2 linked regions of the Oryctolagus cuniculus genome follow. The protein of the gene in region 2 purifies or fractionates together with the protein of the main gene of each other region. This does not show direct contact. Links are inferred from orthologs where the notes say so. Each region holds a gene or a part of one and is shown on either strand. Other genes may lie near its edges.

Region 1 (8,752 bases), on a different chromosome or scaffold from region 2:
ACTCCTTTATAAAGCCCACTGAAATCCTTACCTCTGCGTGAATTTGAATCTTTTTATCATTAACTTGAAGGACTTCAATTAATGGTGGGTTTGGTGGCACTGTCTGTCCCACTGGACTGCTCAGAACCTCTTCAAGAAACTCATCAACATTTTCTTCATTGACAAACAACCTTTCCTAAAAATAAAAAAAAGATAACCTTCCTTAAAAGTTGGATTCAATGCAGTGTGCCTAAAAACAATTCACAAAAACTCTCATAAAGTTATGGGTTATACTTTTTAAAATATTTTAAGGTATTTTCATGTGCTGTTTTGGAGAAAGAAAATTGAGCATTGTACAGAGCAGTAGGGGTTGTACCAAGTGTACCTAAAAAGAAAAACCCTTAGTACTTTTTCTAGGTCTATTACATCTCAGGTATGTTTTTTCTTCCAGAAAATACTACATACAAATGATATTTGTTTTTCCTTTTTTCTCTTTTCCTTTTTTTCTTAAGAGTAACATCACTTCTAAGGAAATAAATGGAATCCCAACTATAAATGTATTTCAGTTCTAGAGCACTTCTTGAGTCAGCTAAGAAATATATGTAACAGGATCTACTCAGATTTTGTGTGACCAGTTTACCTCTTAGTTCTTAGGTAAGGGCCAACTGTAATTTATTTAGAAAAAGTGCATTTTATTTCTAAGAACTGAGATAGTCCACAGTGACACTAATATATAAGAATCAGGTAGATGCTGACATGGAAAGATTTCAAAGCTGTTAGAAAATGCAAATATCACTCTTTCACCTGAATCCCAAACACAAAGCATTCTGTTTATATTCATGACAAATGAGTAAGTATATTAGGTGTTGGGAGGAGTAATCATATTAATCATATTTAAAATTACTTAAAATCAGTTCATTGTTGCTCCAAATAATCTTCCTATACACCTTTTATATACAACTTTTATAATTACAAAATAAACAGCTAATTATTTGGCCCAAATGGGAAAAAAAAAAACAAAGACAAGTTTCAAGTCTTCTGTTCAACAGTATTTGACCTTGTAAGCACCAAACAAAAGTGAACCTGGCTTTGGATCGGCGCAGCTCCGGCCACTGCGGCCATCCGGGGAGTGAGCCAGCAGATGGAAGACCTCTCTCTCTCTACCTCTCTCTGTAACTCTGTCTTTCAAATAAATAAAATAAATCTTTTTTTTTGTTTTTAAATGAACCTCTACAACAGAAAAACACCTCTATAGCTTTTCTACTGTCCATGTCTTGGGAAAATATACTCAGCCCTCAGCACTGTCTCACTGCCAGAAGCACACCAACTATTTTAACTTTTAGTAAATCCGAAATCTGTAATGGAAACGGTTATGATTAAAAGATCTGTATATACTTACCTTGTCATTCTAATAACTGATTTCAGTTTTACAGTAAAATAACACGTGGTCTCTGAGGCTCTGGGAGAATTCCCAGTGAATATTGAAGGGTTAAATAAACATTTAGTATTTTTTGTGCATAAAGCAAATTTGACCTTGATAGTTAAAAAAGTCTCTTTACATAGCGGTTCTTTTCATATAATGCACATGATGATATATTCATGATATATACCTCACTATAATGCTTTTTAAAAATTTGCTTTAATACTCACACCTGGTCCAGTACCATGGAAAGCAAAAGAATACATCATAATTCCATCAACCCTAGCAAATATTATAATTACATAATTATTAATTTCAGACTTCAAAGATAAAAAGTTGTCCTATTTTGCTCTAGTTTCTTGGCCTAAATGTTAGCATACTAGAAAATCTTATTGAAATAAATTATAAAACAGGAACTGCTGTCCATAAAGTTTTCTTCCCACACTGAGAGTTACTTTCACACTTATAAAAACAATGACAGGAAAACGACTGCTGTTTCCTAAATTTCCTCCTTCTGATAACATAAACGTACTCAGTCTCATAAAGTAGCTTACTTAGCCTATTTTACCATTTTTGGAGGGTTTCAAATTAATCACTTCTCAAAGAGACACCCAGCTCATAAAATACAGGTGTAACCGACTAGCAAATTTCTAGAAAAACAACAGGAAAAGTAAAAGTTTCAGTATAAAGCCATGGTCAAATAATTTTTATTATATAATGTGTGTAATTAGTGTTGTTTCTGGAACATGACTCTAGAATATGTTAAAAGAGGTTAACAATCTACATGTAACTTCCATACAAAGCTATCAACTGTTCATTTATGATTTTAAACTCTTTAGAACTTCAAATTTTAAGTAGGTTTTTTCAATATTTGCCAATACTTGTGCTGAATCTAAAATTCAAGAACCTCAGTAGCCTAAGAAGTATCAAACTACCAGAGAACATATGAAGTTATTCCTTCCCAGTTACTCTGCTGAGTAGGCCGGGCAACGCTCGGCCCAGTTCTAAAAGCCTTTGCCCAGGAAGAGGGCAGCTAGCGGAGGGGATGTCGAGCTCCACAACTACCCGACTTCGTTCAGTACCGGCCGTGTGTTCGCTGACCAGCAGGGACCAGAGAATGATTACAACCGACAGACGAAGAAGCACAACCCTACACTCGGGACGGAGATGCGATTTAGAGTCACAACTTCGTTTTCCCACATAAAAGCTGTGTGACACTGGCGGAGGTCCGTGACCTCTCTGGACGTCAGCTGCTGTTATTACTGCCTTTCTAAGTTGGGAAAAAGTGCTTTAAGCACTTCCAATGTGGTCATAAACGCCTGGGGAAATACGACTAGAGTCACAGCCCTTCTGCCCAGAAGCAGGCACCCTCCGCTGCTGGCCACCCCTGCCCTCCGCTTCGCAGGCGGGGGACCCAGGAGGGCAGTGCGCACACGTCGAGGACCGGAAATCCATGCGCCACTTCTTAAAAATGCTGACTGTGCACTAGCTTTCAACGTGCATACCAATTTCTAGTATTTACAGAAAAATTAAGGGTGGCTTTACTTTGTTTAGAATATATTGAGAGGGTGCCTAACAGGACACTTTAAAAGTGGCATGAAATATGTCAAACCTTAAGACTCTAAAAAGAACTGTTACCTCCAAAGATGCGTCGTTTAAGCCGTAAAACCACTGCTTCCAGTGTCCATAGCTCCCCGGAGATTTGGCCAGTTCTATCACGGCATTGTCTGAGGAAATACTAATCACGGGCTCTCTGGTGCTCAGCTTATTCTCGGGCGCAAACTGCAGAAGGAAGGCGTAAGCCGAGTCCTGCGCGGAGAAGCACACGTGGTACCCGAGGGGGCTCACGTCCCCTCGAAGGCTTTGCGGCTGGATGCGCGGCACGCCAATGAGCAGGGTCAGGGTTTCCTCATCCTGGTTACACTGCAAGGGGGGACACACAGGTCCCCTCCTCTCGGGGCAGGGACCACCGCCCATGGCCGGGTCCCCGGGCTCGCGGCCCGAGCCCGGCCGGCGCACGCCCCCTCCTCCGGCGGGAGGCTGCCCGTCGAGGCCCAGCGCTGAGGGACCAGAGGGGTCTCCGTCCCCGTCCCCAGGAGGCGGCGGCGACCCCGCGACCCCGTCAAAGTCCCGCTCCTCTCCAGCGCCAGCCGGCGGAGGTGCCACCTCGGGGCCACCTGCGGCGGGGACCCTATCGGCCGCGGTTCGGCCGGAATCCGGGGCTCCGTTCCCCACCGCGAGACCCCCGGCCAGTCCCGCCTCCTCCTCTTCCTCCTCCTCTTCCTCCGAGGCGCGGGTCGCGTCGTCAGTTCCGGCCCGGCCGGGGCTCTCTTCCGGCGCGGCGGTGGCGGCCGGCACCACGGGCAGCGTGACCACCAGCTGCCGTCGCGCCTTGTGGAACTGCGCGTGGCCGCGGCTGTCGTCCACCGGGTACGGGAGCGAGAGCCGCAGCCGGTAGTCAGGCTTCCGCGAGTCCAGGCACAGCAGCTTGCCCGTCACCTCCAGCGCCGCCTGCTCGGCCGAGCGCAACAGCGGCAGCTCGATGGTGACCACCAGCTCGCGGGGCACGGGGCTCGGGGCCGAGTCCCGGGAGCAGCGGTAGTCCTGGAGGTCCACGTGGTGGCGCTGCACCACGCTGTAGCGGGGCTCGGTGGGCGCGGGCGGCGGGGCCGGCTCCGGCGGGGACGGCGCCCGGGGCCGAGGGCCGGCGGAGCTTCCGGAAGCGGCCGGGTAGCTGTAGGGGTAGGGGAAGGCCAGGAGGGGGTCGTCTGGATCCCCCTCGGGCCGGGCCGGGGCGCCGCCGGGCAGGGGCGTGCGCAGGACGGCGGCCTCCGGGGTCCCCTTGTACTTGACCTTCAGGGTCTTGGCGTTCCTGCGGTCCAGCCTGACGCCGAACTGCTTCTGCACGGCCTCCAGGGCCGTGTCGTCCAGCATGTGGCGGAGGCGCTCGTGGCGCCGCGCCAGCGCCAGCGCGTCGGGGTGAAAGACCACGTCGTAGACGGTGTAGCGGCTGCCGCTGCGCCCCGCGTACTCGCGGGCCGGCGCCAGGCTGTAGGGCAGGATCCAGTGGCTGCCGGGCGCCCCCCGGTCGGAACCGGGCCGGCAGCTGGGCGCGCCCACCAGCGCGTTGCAGCACACGTTCACGAAGCAGCGCCGCGTCCCGTCCAGGCTGGTGCGCAGCACGTGGCCCGGCTCCGGGTGCACGAACCGCACGTCCACGCCGCGCTCCCGCTCGAGCGCGGTGATCTCCGCCTCGTAGAGCCGCCGGTTCTCCGGGTCGTTGAGCTGCTCGGCGTACTCGGAGAACATTCGCCGGAACTCGGGGTCCTGGAAGGCGGAGGTGAGCCTCTGGACCTCCTCTCCGCTCAGGTCCAAGTCCTCCAGCCGCGAGGAGGCTGCCCCTTTGGCCATGCTGCTGCCCCGCGGCTCCTCACCCTCCGGGCCAAGCCAGATGAGGGCCCGGCCGGGCAGACGCGCCGCCGAGTGCAGTGCGCGGAGCCCTGGGCAGCAGCGGCGGGTAACGGCTGGAGGCCGCGCGTGCCTGTTGCCATGGCGACAGCTCCGCCGCCCGGGGGAGGGGCAGGAATGAGCTAGGCGCCGAGGAAAGGCCAGCCGGAGCCGCTGCTGCCTTCACACCTGCCGGCCACCCTCCTGGCTGTGTTTTCTGGAGTCCTGTCCCACAGTGCATTTTCTTCTGCAGGCCGTGATTTCCAGCACTATGTGTGTTGTCCCACTCATAACGCTGTAAGATGAACTTCCCATAGAATTATAAATAATTCCCTAAATATTACTTACTCCGTAGGTGATATGTAGTTTCCTATCAAAATAGCAGGTTTTTTAAAAATTGTGTTTCCTCAGAGTGGGAGTAGACTTTAAATGCCTGCACTTTTGTGTTGACTCAGATAATCTCAGAGTATTTGACTTAGTCCTGGCAGAGTGTGTTCAAGGCAATACCATTTAGTTTGTTTGTTTGTTTGTTTGTTTTTAAGATTGATTTATTTGAAAGAGTTACACAGAAAGAGGAGAGGCAAAGAGAGTCTTCCATCCCATGGTTCACTCTCCAATTGGCCGCAACGGCCAGAGCTGCACTGATCTGAAGCCAGGAGCCTCCTCCGGGTCTCCCACATGGGTGCAGGGGCCCAAGGACTTGGACCATCTTGTACTGCTTTCCCAGGCCATAACAGAGAGTTGGATCGTAAGTAGAGCAGCTGGGTCTGGAACCAGTGCCCATATGGGATGCCAGCACTGCAGGCCAGGGCGTTAACCCACTGCGCCGGCCTCAATAGCATTTACCCTAAAGGTTTAGGAAGAATCTACAGTGGAAACAATGGAGCTAATTTTACTGCTGCCATACGATGGAATTTTATGCATTTGAAGGGATCTCATAGAAGTATATTTATTGACTGGGGTAGTTATTTAAGAATTAGTATTAGTCCGGCGCCGCAGCTCAATAGGCTAATCTTCCACCTTGCGGCGCGGGCACACCGGATTCTAGTCCCGGTTGCCCCTCTTCCAGGCCAGCTCTCTGCTGTGGCCAGGGGGTGCAGTGGAGGATGGCCAAGTGCTTGGGCCCTGCACCCCATGGGAGACCAGGAGAAGCACCTGGCTCCTGCCATCGGATCAGCGTGGTGCACCGGCCACAGCGCGCCAGCCGCGGCCGGCCATTGGAGGGTGAACCAACGGCAAAGGAAGACCTTTCTCTCTGTCTCTCTCTCTCTCTCACTGTCCACTCTGCCTGTCAAAAAAATAAAAAGAATTAGTAGTGAATCTAGTGATCGTCTGCTTTCAGCAGTACTTAGCACAGCCGGTGCTGCCGCTCCCCAGTGAGGCGGTCTCCCCAGGTTCCTCCCCTGCCTTCTCAGCGCTCGCTCTTACTCTGCCCTGCCGTCTGCCTCTGTTCAGTCTCCGGGGCTCCATCCACATTCTCCCTTCACATTGCTTACACTCACGAATACCAAACTTGTGCTTCAGGTCCTTCTTTCTAGACTTGTTTTTTATTTATTTGAAAGAATTACAGAGAGAGAGGTAGAGACAGAGATATTCCATCTGCGGGTTCACTCCCCAAATGGCTCCAATGGATAGGGCTGGGCCAGGCCAAAACTAGGAGCCAGAGGCTTCTTCTGGGTCTCCCACCTGGGTGCAGGAGCCCAAGTGCTTGGGCCGTCTTTCCCAGGCACATCAGGGAGCTGGATCAGAAGTGGAGTGGAGCCCACCAGGATTCCACCAGATGCCAATATGGGATGCCAGCACTGCAGGCGGTGGCTTAACCTGCTATACCACAACGGCGACCCCATACTTCGGGTTCTGGGTTTCAGACTCCTGTACCCAGCTGCCCATTTGACATCTCATTGAATAATTACTCATTGTCTCTCAAGCTCGAAACAACCAAAACCAGAACTCCTGACTTCTCTCCTTTTCCAAATCCCTGTCTTGCATATGATCTCTTGGCAGCATTCAAAGCAGGAGACCGTCCTGGGCTTCACGCCTATTTTTCTCTTGGCTTACAGAATGCCAAGCTCCCCTGTTCCGGCTTTGTAGCAGTTCTGCCAGTTCTCTAAGTGTGCGGATCACTCAAGGCTCTGTCCAGCACCCTCTCATCTAATCACTTCCTTTTACGATGTTATCTGAGCCCACACCTTTAAATGCCATCCATGTCAAGTCCTTTTGTTAGATAATTATTCCACATTTCTGCACTTACTATCTAGGTTATCACTAAGTCAGTGTTCCCCACGCTGCAGCAGAACATAAAATCATTGTCCCTTGAGGATATGAAGCAGCTGGCCCACTTGGGAAGAGCTGTTACTGCTGGAAGTCTAAAGATATGCATAACGCTATCTTTTTATAGGAAGATTATTTATCTAAGATTTATTCATTTGGAAGGCAGAGTTAAAGAGGCAGAGAGAGATCTGACCCAGCCTCTGCTATTGGAGCAATTTGGGGAGTGAAACAGCAGATGAAAGATCTGGGTTTTTTAATTTATTATTTATTTATTTATTTATTTTTATTTGAAAGATCTGTTTTTATCTCTCCCTCTCTGTAATTCAGCCTTTGGAATAAATAAGTCAACTTTTTTTTTTTTTTTTTTTTTTTTTTTTTTTTTTTTTTTGACAGGCAGAGTGGACAGTAAGAGAGAGAGAGACAGGGAGAAAGGTCTTCCTTTTTTCATTGGTTCACCCCCCCCCAAGTGGCTGCTATAGCCGGTGCGCTGCGCCGCTCCAAAGCCAGGAGCCAGGTGCTTCCTCCTGGTCTGCCCTGCGGGTGCAGGGCCCAAGGACCTGGAGTATCCTCCACTGTACTCCAGGGCCACACCAGAGAGCTGGACTGGAAGAGGAGCAACCAGGACAGAATCCAGTGGAACTAGAACCCGGGGTGCTGGCGCCACAGGCGGAGGATTAGCCTAGTGAGCCGCGGTGCCGGCCAAGTCAATCTTTTTTAAAAAGAAAAGAAAATGGTGAAACAATGCATATGTTATGACACCACTGTATAATAGGCAAAACTTGGCTAAATAACTCTGCTTAAAACCAGGCTGTACTGGGGCCGGGGCTGTGCATAGTGGGTAAAGCTGCCGCCTACAGTGCCGGCATCCCATATGGGCACCGGTTCAAGTCTCTGCTGTTCCACTTCCAATCCAGCTCTCTGCTATGGCCTGGGAAAGCAGTAGAAGATTGCCCAAATCCTTGGGCCCCTGCTCCTGTGTGGGAGACCCGGAAGAAGCTTCTGACTCCTGGCTTTGGATTGGGCAGCTGGGGCTGTTGCGGCCAATTGGGAAGTGAACCATCTGATGGAAGACCACTCTCTCTCTCTGCCTCTCCTCTCTCTGCGTAACTCTGACTTTCAAATAAATAAATAAATCCTTTAAAAAAAAAGAAATCGTAAAAAAAAAAAAAAAAAAAAAAAACAGGCTATACAACTGGTTTGTCAAGTTTTAAAGTAATACCTACTAATAATTTTCTTAAACAGAAAAAGAGAATGACAGTCTTGTGATGGCCCTTTGCGGGGACCATGGGTATTGTGATTGGGAGGAAATGAGGGAACTGGGGTGGGGATCTCTTTTTCCTCAAAGATGTTTTTTAGTGTGTCCCGTTTGCTGGTTCACTCTCCAAATGTCTCTTTCCAAGGCTGGAGTCAGGAGCTGGGCACTCAATCCAGATTTTCCATGTGGGTGCCATTCCCGCTGCTTCTAAGAGTCTGTATTAATAGGAAGCTGGTGTCAGGAACAGCAGCCAAGAATCCGACCTTGGCACCGTCTGTGTCCTTCCCCAAACAGAAGCCCAGGACGCCTTTCACCGCCTTCCTCTGCTGCCCCACCTTTCAGACTGCAGCTTCCTTTTCATTTCTAGACAGCACTGGTTC
Region 2 (8,283 bases):
TGAAATCCTTACTTAATGTATACTAAGCTGATCTTCTGTATATTAAGATAATCGAAAATGAATCTTGATGTGAATGGAAGGGGAGAGGGAGTGGGAAAGGGGAGGGTAGTGGGTAGGAGGGACGGTATGTGGGGGAAGCCATTGTAATCCATAAATCGTACTTTGGAAATTTATATTCATTAAATAAAAGTAAAAAAAAAAAAAGCCACTTCCTATCATACAGTTTTTTTTTTTTTTTAATTTGACAGATAGAGTTATAGACAGTGAGAGAGAGACATAGAGAAAGGTCTTCCTTCCATTGGTTTACCCCTCAAATGGCCGCCACTGCTGGCGCTGTGCCCATCCGAAGCCAGGAGCCAGGTGCCTCTTCCTGGTCTCCCTTGCGGGTGCAGGAGCCCAAGCACTTGGGCCATCCTCCACTGCCCTCCCAGGCCACAGCAGAGAGCTGGACTGGAAGAGGAGCAACCAGGACTAGAACCAGCGCCCATACAATACAGTTTGATTCAAGTCCACATCTGTATGCATCTGATAATTTATTAATTCAGCAAATAATTATTCAACACCTATTCTGTGGAAAGCACTAAAGCCATTAAATGGTGAGGAATCTATTTTGCATACTTTTTCATGCACTGCAGAACAGGGGTTTGAAAGTTTTCCTTTTCAGGCACTTGAGTAAAATGTTTTAAAAGTATAAAGAAATAAGAAACCAATGAACACAACAATATGCAAACTAACACATAGCAGTCTATTTCGTCCTCCAGTTAACATTAAGCAATGTTTGTTTGCTAACTTCAAATTTTAAAAGAAATTCTAGCTTTGCTATTCGTGTATTCAGTTTCAAAATGTAGGTAGTCAACAACCTAATACACGTCCCTGGAGGTCTTCATTTCTCCATCCCTGAAATCACAATCCCAGGGAAACTAGAAACGCCTCACTGTGGCTTTCACGCTTGCTTTTCCCCCAGTTTCTAGATTCAACCCAAAATTCCTGCTGTGGTTATTCTTGCTCATTGCTAAAGGCGAAGACAATGGCATCACAAGATCCACTCTCCTGCAGCCTCAGCCCCAAAACAACCTCCTCCATGATCCATACACTCAGGAGTCTGCTAGTCTATCTCCATCTCAGTGACCCCATCCTTTCTACGATTACTCCAACTGTTGTCCTTAAGTTCACTGCCTTTTAAGATCTCTATCTCTTTTCCTTACCTCTAGTTGTTGTTGTTGTTCTTTTTTGTTGTTGTTGTTGGTTTTTGTTTTTTTTTTTTTTTTTTTTTTTTTTACAGGCAGAGTGGATAGTTTGAGAGAGAGACAGAGAGAAAGGTCTTCCTTTTTGCCGTTGGTTCACCCTCCAATGGCCACCGCCCCCGGCAGGCACATCGCACTGATCTGAAGCCAGGAGCCAGGTGCTTGTCCTGGTCTCCCATGGGGTGCAGGGCCCAAGCACTTGGGCCATCCTCCACTGCCCTCCTGGGCCACAGCAGAGAGCTGGACTGGAAGAGGAGCAACCGGGACAGAATCCGGCGCCCCGACCGGGACTAGAACCCGGGGTGCAGGCGCCGCAGGTGGAGGATTAGCCTAGTGAGCCATGGCGCCGGCCGCTTACCTCTAGTTCTTAAAACCAACTCATTCCAACTCAAACTAGTTCATTTATGCAGAACCTTAGCAAAAATTACTCTCCAGCAAAAAACGAATGGCATGCACTCTACCTTCTCTTCCCATTGCTCAGCATCTCCTAAATGGCTCTTTAGAACAACCCTCTGACCCCACCTGCAGGTTCTATGCAGCTTAGATGAAAGGCTGATTACAGACAAGGACCAACAAAGTCTCGGGGTACAGCTTGAAGAACTGAAATCTCTCTGATCGTAAACGTCCCATAAGTCTTTCACAACCTCTGCTTCCCCATTTTACAACACTTCAATCCTCCAAAGCACGTCACTTACATTATAAGAGATTAAAGGAACCAGCAATTTTGTTCAATCGTGAGGCATTACAAAAAGAAAATTCTGTTCTGTTACTGAGTCAACATAGAATTTGAGTTTGTATACAATCAACCACAAAGTACTGCAAATATGACAGGTAAAGCAAAAATAAAAATCAAATTATGCATCAAAGTCAACTTCAGGATCTTTACATGTACCATTCCAATCAGAACTGCCTCTACAAGGAGGGGATCATTTCTGTCACTTACATCTCTGGCTAAGCATCACCTCCTCAGGTGATGCTCAACCACTCACCCTCCCCGTAAATCCGAGGCAGTTCCTATTCCAGGATTCGGCTTCAGTTTCCTCACTGCACTTTTTTCAGGATGCAGTTATTTTGTTCATTTTCTGTCCCCACTCTTTTGAATGTTCACTCCATGAGAACAGAGACTTTCCCTAGCTTGTTCACTTCTGGATCCCAAGGCCTGGACCAAGGCCTGGCACACAGTATGAGCTAAAATATTTGTTGAGTCAATGAATTTCTATGTAATGCTTTCTTTTTTTTTTTTTTTTTTGACAGGCAGAGTGGACAGTGAGAGAGAGAGAGAGACAGAGAGAAAGGTCTTCCTTTGCCGTTGGTTCACCCTCCAATGGCCGCCGCGGCCGGTGCGCTGCGGCCAGCGCACCACGCTGATCCGATGGCAGGAGCCAGGTACTTATCCTGGTATCCCATGGGGTGCAGGGCCCAAGTCCTTGGGCCATCCTGCACTGCACTCCCTGGCCACAGCAGAGAGCTGGCCTGGAAGAGGGGCAACCGGGACAGAATCCGGCGCCCCGACCGGGACCAGAACCCGGTGTGCCGGCGCCGCAAGGCGGAGGATTAGCCTAGTGAGCCGCAGCGCCGGCCTCTATGTAATGCTTTAAGATCAACCAGGTCTTACAAAATTGTCATCCAATTTAATCTTCACATCACATCTATGAGCAAGGAACTTTTACAATTAAAGAAACAAAACGGAGAATATATGGGAAACCTCTGTATCTTCCACTCAATTGTGCTATGAACCTAAAAGTGCTCTAAAAATAGTCTATTAAAAACAATGGGGCAGGTACTGGGTGCAATGGTTAAGGCACCACTTGGGGGTGGACACTGTGGCCAAGCATCTTGGGATGTTCACATCCAGTATCAGAGCGCCTGGTACAAGCGCCTGGCTGCTCTGTGCTTCCAATCTAGCTTCCTGCGAATGTGCCTGGAAGGCAGTGAATGATGGACCGAGTACTTGGCTTCATATAATCCCTGTTGGAGTCTTGAATAGGGTTTTTGGCTCCCGGCTCAGGCCCAGCTCAGCCTGGGCTGTTAAATGCATTTAGGTAAATGAATTAATAGATGGAAAAGCTCCTTCCCCCCTCTCTCTAAAAAATAAATAAATGCTTAAAAAAAAAAGACATCACAGGGATATTTGCATCTCCTATGGGAGAGTCTGGGTTTGAGCGCTGGCTCGACTTCTGATCGCAGCTTCCTGATAATGCACACCCTGGGAGCAGCAAGGTGATGGCCCATGTAGCTGGATTTCTGCCACACACACGGAAGACCCAGACTGAGTTCCCAGCTCCCAGCAGTGTCCTAGTAAAGTCTCTGCTGGGTGTTTGGGGAATGAATCCACGAATGAGAGATTTCTCTCTCTACCTATCTTTCAAATAAATTAATAAATTAAAATTGGAAAGATAAAAACACTAAAGGAAAGAGAAAATGAAGCCTCAGAAACAGCAAGGAGCATATTCAGTCACACACAGCTGATAACTGGCAGAGCTGACATAGGCCCTGGGTGTTCTGAACCCCCCAGGCCTTCCCATTGCCGCCAACAAGCAGTTTTTTCACCTGGGAAAAGTCCAATCACCTTTAATTTATAACAAAACAGTAACTGCTGAAACAGAAGCGCTAATCCTACTCACTGGTGCTGAACTCGGCCCACGCCTGCAGCCGCAGGTGCAGTCCCTCTCCAGGGACATAGCGCAGCCCGCGGCAGGAGGAAGGCACAAGCCTGACCTCTGCTGGCAGCTCGATGTCTGTGCAGCCGTCAGACGTTCTCATCTGGAGTGAGGAAGGTGTTATGGAAATGTCCATGGGCAGCCCTTCTCGTGGCTCCCTAGTAATAAAAATAAAACCAAAACAAATTATTTCTCATTGGCCAAAACCACATGATGGAAGGAGGAGAAATTTCTGTTCCTCTTCTAGAGAAGCCCTAAAGTCACTGCCCCAGAAACCAGCAGCTAACATTATGAAGCAAGCTGATGTAGACTAGATATAGACAGTGCCAGAGTACCCTTCACTGTCACTCCCGTGAAAGCCCTGGGAGACATTTGTTATTCTTCAGATACAAGTATTAAAATCATATCTTATCTATAAATCACAGCAAAGTACTGTTATTTCATATATACGAGCTTGATAAAATAAGAATTAAGAGACACAAAAGGTAGAAAAAAAATCCTTGCCCCCCTCAGCTTTTCAAATAAATTAATCTTATAAAATAAAAATACAGTGATGTATGAACACCAGGTGTGAAAGGACTTACTAATTCATGATAAACACAAACTACTGTACTCAATACAGTCAGTAAAGAGTTAAACATGTTCCCTGTCCATCAGGTGTCAAAAGTATAGAAAGGAAAGAAGACATACAGAAGTGACTGCCAGCAACATGGAAGGAGGTTAGGAATAAATAGAAATGGCTCTATGACACCTAAATGTGCTTAGCAACTGAGGTATCATGTCTCACTCTTAAGTGCAAACAGCAGGCAGGCCATCCTCTCGGTGTCACATAAGTGCAGACAGAAGGCCATCTGCTTGAATGTCACCTAAGGGCAGAGGAGAGACTGTGTGCACATGTGAATCCTGCTTAGGCCTCTTAATTGCCTTAACTGCCTTAGAATCTTAAGTCTACTTTCTGCCTAGTTCCTTCACAGCATAAGGATCTGCACTTAATTAGCAAAACAGAAAGAATATCAAGAACCTGTGTTTTTTGCAGGGGAGACAGCCCCAAACCCCTGATGTAAAAGCTCAATTTCAACAAATGATGTTGGGGCTGGCGTTGTGGCACGATAGGTTAAGCTACCACCTGTGATGCCAGCATCCTGCGTGAGAGTCCATTTGAATCTCAGCTGCTCTACTTCCAATCCAGTTCCCTGCTAATGTGCCTGGGAAAGCAGTGGAGGATGACCCAAGTGCTTGGGCCTCTGCCACCCACATGGGAGATCTGGATGGAGTTTCAGGCTTCTGGCTTCAGCCTGCTCTAGACCCAGCCATTGTAGCCAAATGGGCAGCCATTTGGGTAGTGAACCAGCAGACGGATGATCGATCTTTCTCTCTCCTTCTCTCTCTATAATTATGCCTTTCAAATAAATAGATCTTTTTTAAAAGTAAAAAGAAATTATGGGAGCTAAATTTGTTAAAAAAAAAAAAAGGGAAGAAAATTAAAAAAAAGAAATGCCTGTATCAGTATTCTTTTTTTTTCCTTAAGATTATTTATTTGAAAGTCAGAGTTACACAGAGAGAAAGGAAAGAGAGAGGTCTTCCATCAAATGGTTCACTCCCCAAGTGGCTGCAATGGCCAGAGCAACACTGATACAAAGCTAGGAGCTTCTTCCAGGTCTCCCACACGGGCGCTGGGGCCCAAGGACTTGGGCCATCTTCAACTGTTTCCCAGGCCATAGCTGAGAGCTGGATTGGAAGTGGAGCAACCGGGTCTGGAACCGGAGCCATATGGGATGCCAGTGCTTCAGGCCAGGGCGTTAACCCACTGTGCCACAGCGCCGGCCCCCTGTATCAGTATTCTTGCAAATACAGTTTTGTAAAACTTTGTTTTATATCTTTGTAAAACCAATGGTTAAGAACGTATACTACTATAGTTTTAATGATCTGTGATTACTTTTAAGATTTGCTGTATATGGGTGAAATGGTCATTTTTCCACTCAATTACCGTTTATAGCCGTCCTCTTTATTCTCACTAAACTACAGTCTTTTTGCTTTTTACTTCTAAACTTCTTATTCAGTGAAGCATTAAGCCTTTTTACTGTAATGTAAATTTAAAATATGTTATCTCAAAAACTAAAAAAAGAAAGGAGGGTGGGAGAAAGGCAATGTCATTATGTTCTTAGAATTGTATCCACAAACTATATTCAATCTGCTGAAAACTAATTTAAAATTTTCTTAAATTAAAATCTTTAAAAAAAGAAATAATGTTTATGAAATAATGAACCTTTACAAGTAGGAGTCAACAAACTTTCTATAAAAGGCCAGATAGTAAATATTTTACACTCTGGGCTATAAACAAGGGACTTCAAAAGTCCACAGAAAATGGAATTTTAAACATTTACTGCATTGCAAAAAAAAATTTTAAATCCATGCATAGTTTTTCATTAAATGCATTTCCATCAGTTTTTGAAGATTCTCCCTTTACAACTTTATGGCCTCCGTTACATATTCTTTTGTTTTTTTTGTTTTTTTTGTTTTTTTTTTTTTTTTTGGACAGGCAGAGTGGATAGTGAGAGAGAGAGACAGAGAGAAAGGTCTTCCTTTGCTGTTGGTTTACCCCACAATGGCCACTGCAGCTGGTGCGCTGCATCCAGCACACCGCACTGATCCGAAGCCAGGAGCCAGGTGCCTCTCCTGGTCTCCCACGCAGGTGCAAGGCCCAGGGACCGGGCCATCCTCCACTGCACTCCCAGGCCATGGCAGAGAGCTGGACTGGAAGAGGAAACTGGGACAGAATCCGGCGCCCTGACCGGGACTAGAACCCGGGGTGCCGGTGCCACAGGCGGAGGATTAGCCTAGTGAGCCGCAGTGCCAGCCTTTTTTTTTTTTTTTTTTTTTTTTAAGATTTTATCTATTTTTTTGAGAGGTAGAGTTACAGAGAGAGAGGGAGAGACAGAGAAAAAGGTCTTCCTTCCACTGGTCCACTCTCCAAATGACCACAACGGCCAGAGTTGGGCCGATTTGAAGCCAAGAGCTTCTTCTATGTCACCCACATAGGTGCAGAGGCCCAAGCACTTGGGCCATCTTCCACTGCTTTCCCAGGCCATAGCAGAGCGCTGGATCACAAGAGGAGCAGCTGGGACTAGAACTGGAGCTCATATGGGATGCGAGCACCGCAGGCGGAGGCTTTTCCCACTATGCCACAGCACCCGCCACTCTGGTACAAATTCTGCCTGGTATTATCTTTTTGATTCCAGGAATCAGCCTCCCCCTCACTTCCCTCAAGGATACTAAGGTCTGCAGGGGCTCAAGTGCCTTATGTAAAATGGCATAAAATTATCTCTACCTAACGTAAGGTAAATGCTATGTAAATAGGTGTTTTTTGTGTTTTGTTTGTTTGTTTGTTTTTTTCTTTTTAGCGAATAATGACAAGAAGAAGTCTGCACGTGGTCAGTAAAGATGCAGTTTTTTCCTGAGTATTTTTGATTTGGGGTTGACTGAATCCACAGATTTAGAACAGAGGCCTTAAACAACAAACACAGTAGACAGAGGAGGCACAGGTGTCTCATTATTGGGGCTCCATCCTCATTACCAAATTACCTCCCAAAGGCCCCACCTCCCAACACCATCCCAGTGAGGGGTTAGGGCCTCAATATATAAATTTGAGGAAGACACAAATACTCAGTCTATGAACAGAGTCCAAGCGGGTATGGAGATGTCACTAATAAGTGGCAGGAGAGGGGGCAGTAAAGGATGCCAGCAGCAGATTAGTTAACCAGTGGGGCACTGACCAGGGAAGTCAATGCCATGAGCACAATAAGGCCAGGATTTTCCCTGAGGGAAAATGGATTCACAAAGAGAGAAAAACTAGGATGGAATCCCATGATGGTGGACTAGAATGGAATGTGTCTATTGGAAGTCAGTTTCCAAAGCGGCTGCATATAAACAGATACAATAATAGAAATGAATGTAAATGTATGTACTCCTATGTGTATATGCATATACATAAACATGCATACATCTCACACACACACACACGCACACACACTTCCTGGGGAAGGAACACCCCAACAGTAATGAGCACAGTGTCCAGATCTTGGCTAGTAAAGGCCATTTTCTACTAAAAACCAACCAAAACAACAATAACAAAAAAAAAAAAAACCCAGGGTTCCCTGAAAAAATGACTACATTCAACAAGAAAAGAATGAGAGGAGCATGGCACATCTTGTTATGCAACTAAGTAAGGAAAAAAAATCAAACAATGGCAGAGATATATCCAAAAAGATACAAATCATCTTGAAAGGTCTCCTGTGGCCAGATGCAGTGGAACTGGCACAAAAAAGTAGCTACTCAAATAAACCAGGACTATATGTTTTTACTGAAGTAAATAAATGAAT

The links.
Region 1: the proteins of UBE3D (region 2) and DNAAF2 purify together in Homo sapiens (affinity purification with mass spectrometry; 4 studies listed by BioGRID and IntAct, counting the BioPlex papers as one, with this or other methods). This does not show direct contact. The link is inferred for Oryctolagus cuniculus from reciprocal best matches to the Homo sapiens genes UBE3D and DNAAF2.

The regions. Positions count from the first base shown.
Region 1 is NC_091443.1:26,415,603-26,424,354, reverse strand, and holds the start of DNAAF2 (protein kintoun), read right to left. Parts: upstream 4,941-8,752; 5' UTR 4,811-4,940; coding exon 3,038-4,810; intron 176-3,037; coding exon 32-175; intron 1-31. UniProt on the Homo sapiens protein: Required for cytoplasmic pre-assembly of axonemal dyneins, thereby playing a central role in motility in cilia and flagella.
Region 2 is NC_091436.1:89,355,684-89,363,966, reverse strand, and holds part of UBE3D (E3 ubiquitin-protein ligase E3D), read right to left. Parts: intron 4,063-8,283; coding exon 3,869-4,062; intron 1-3,868. UniProt on the Homo sapiens protein: E3 ubiquitin-protein ligase which accepts ubiquitin from specific E2 ubiquitin-conjugating enzymes, and transfers it to substrates, generally promoting their degradation by the proteasome.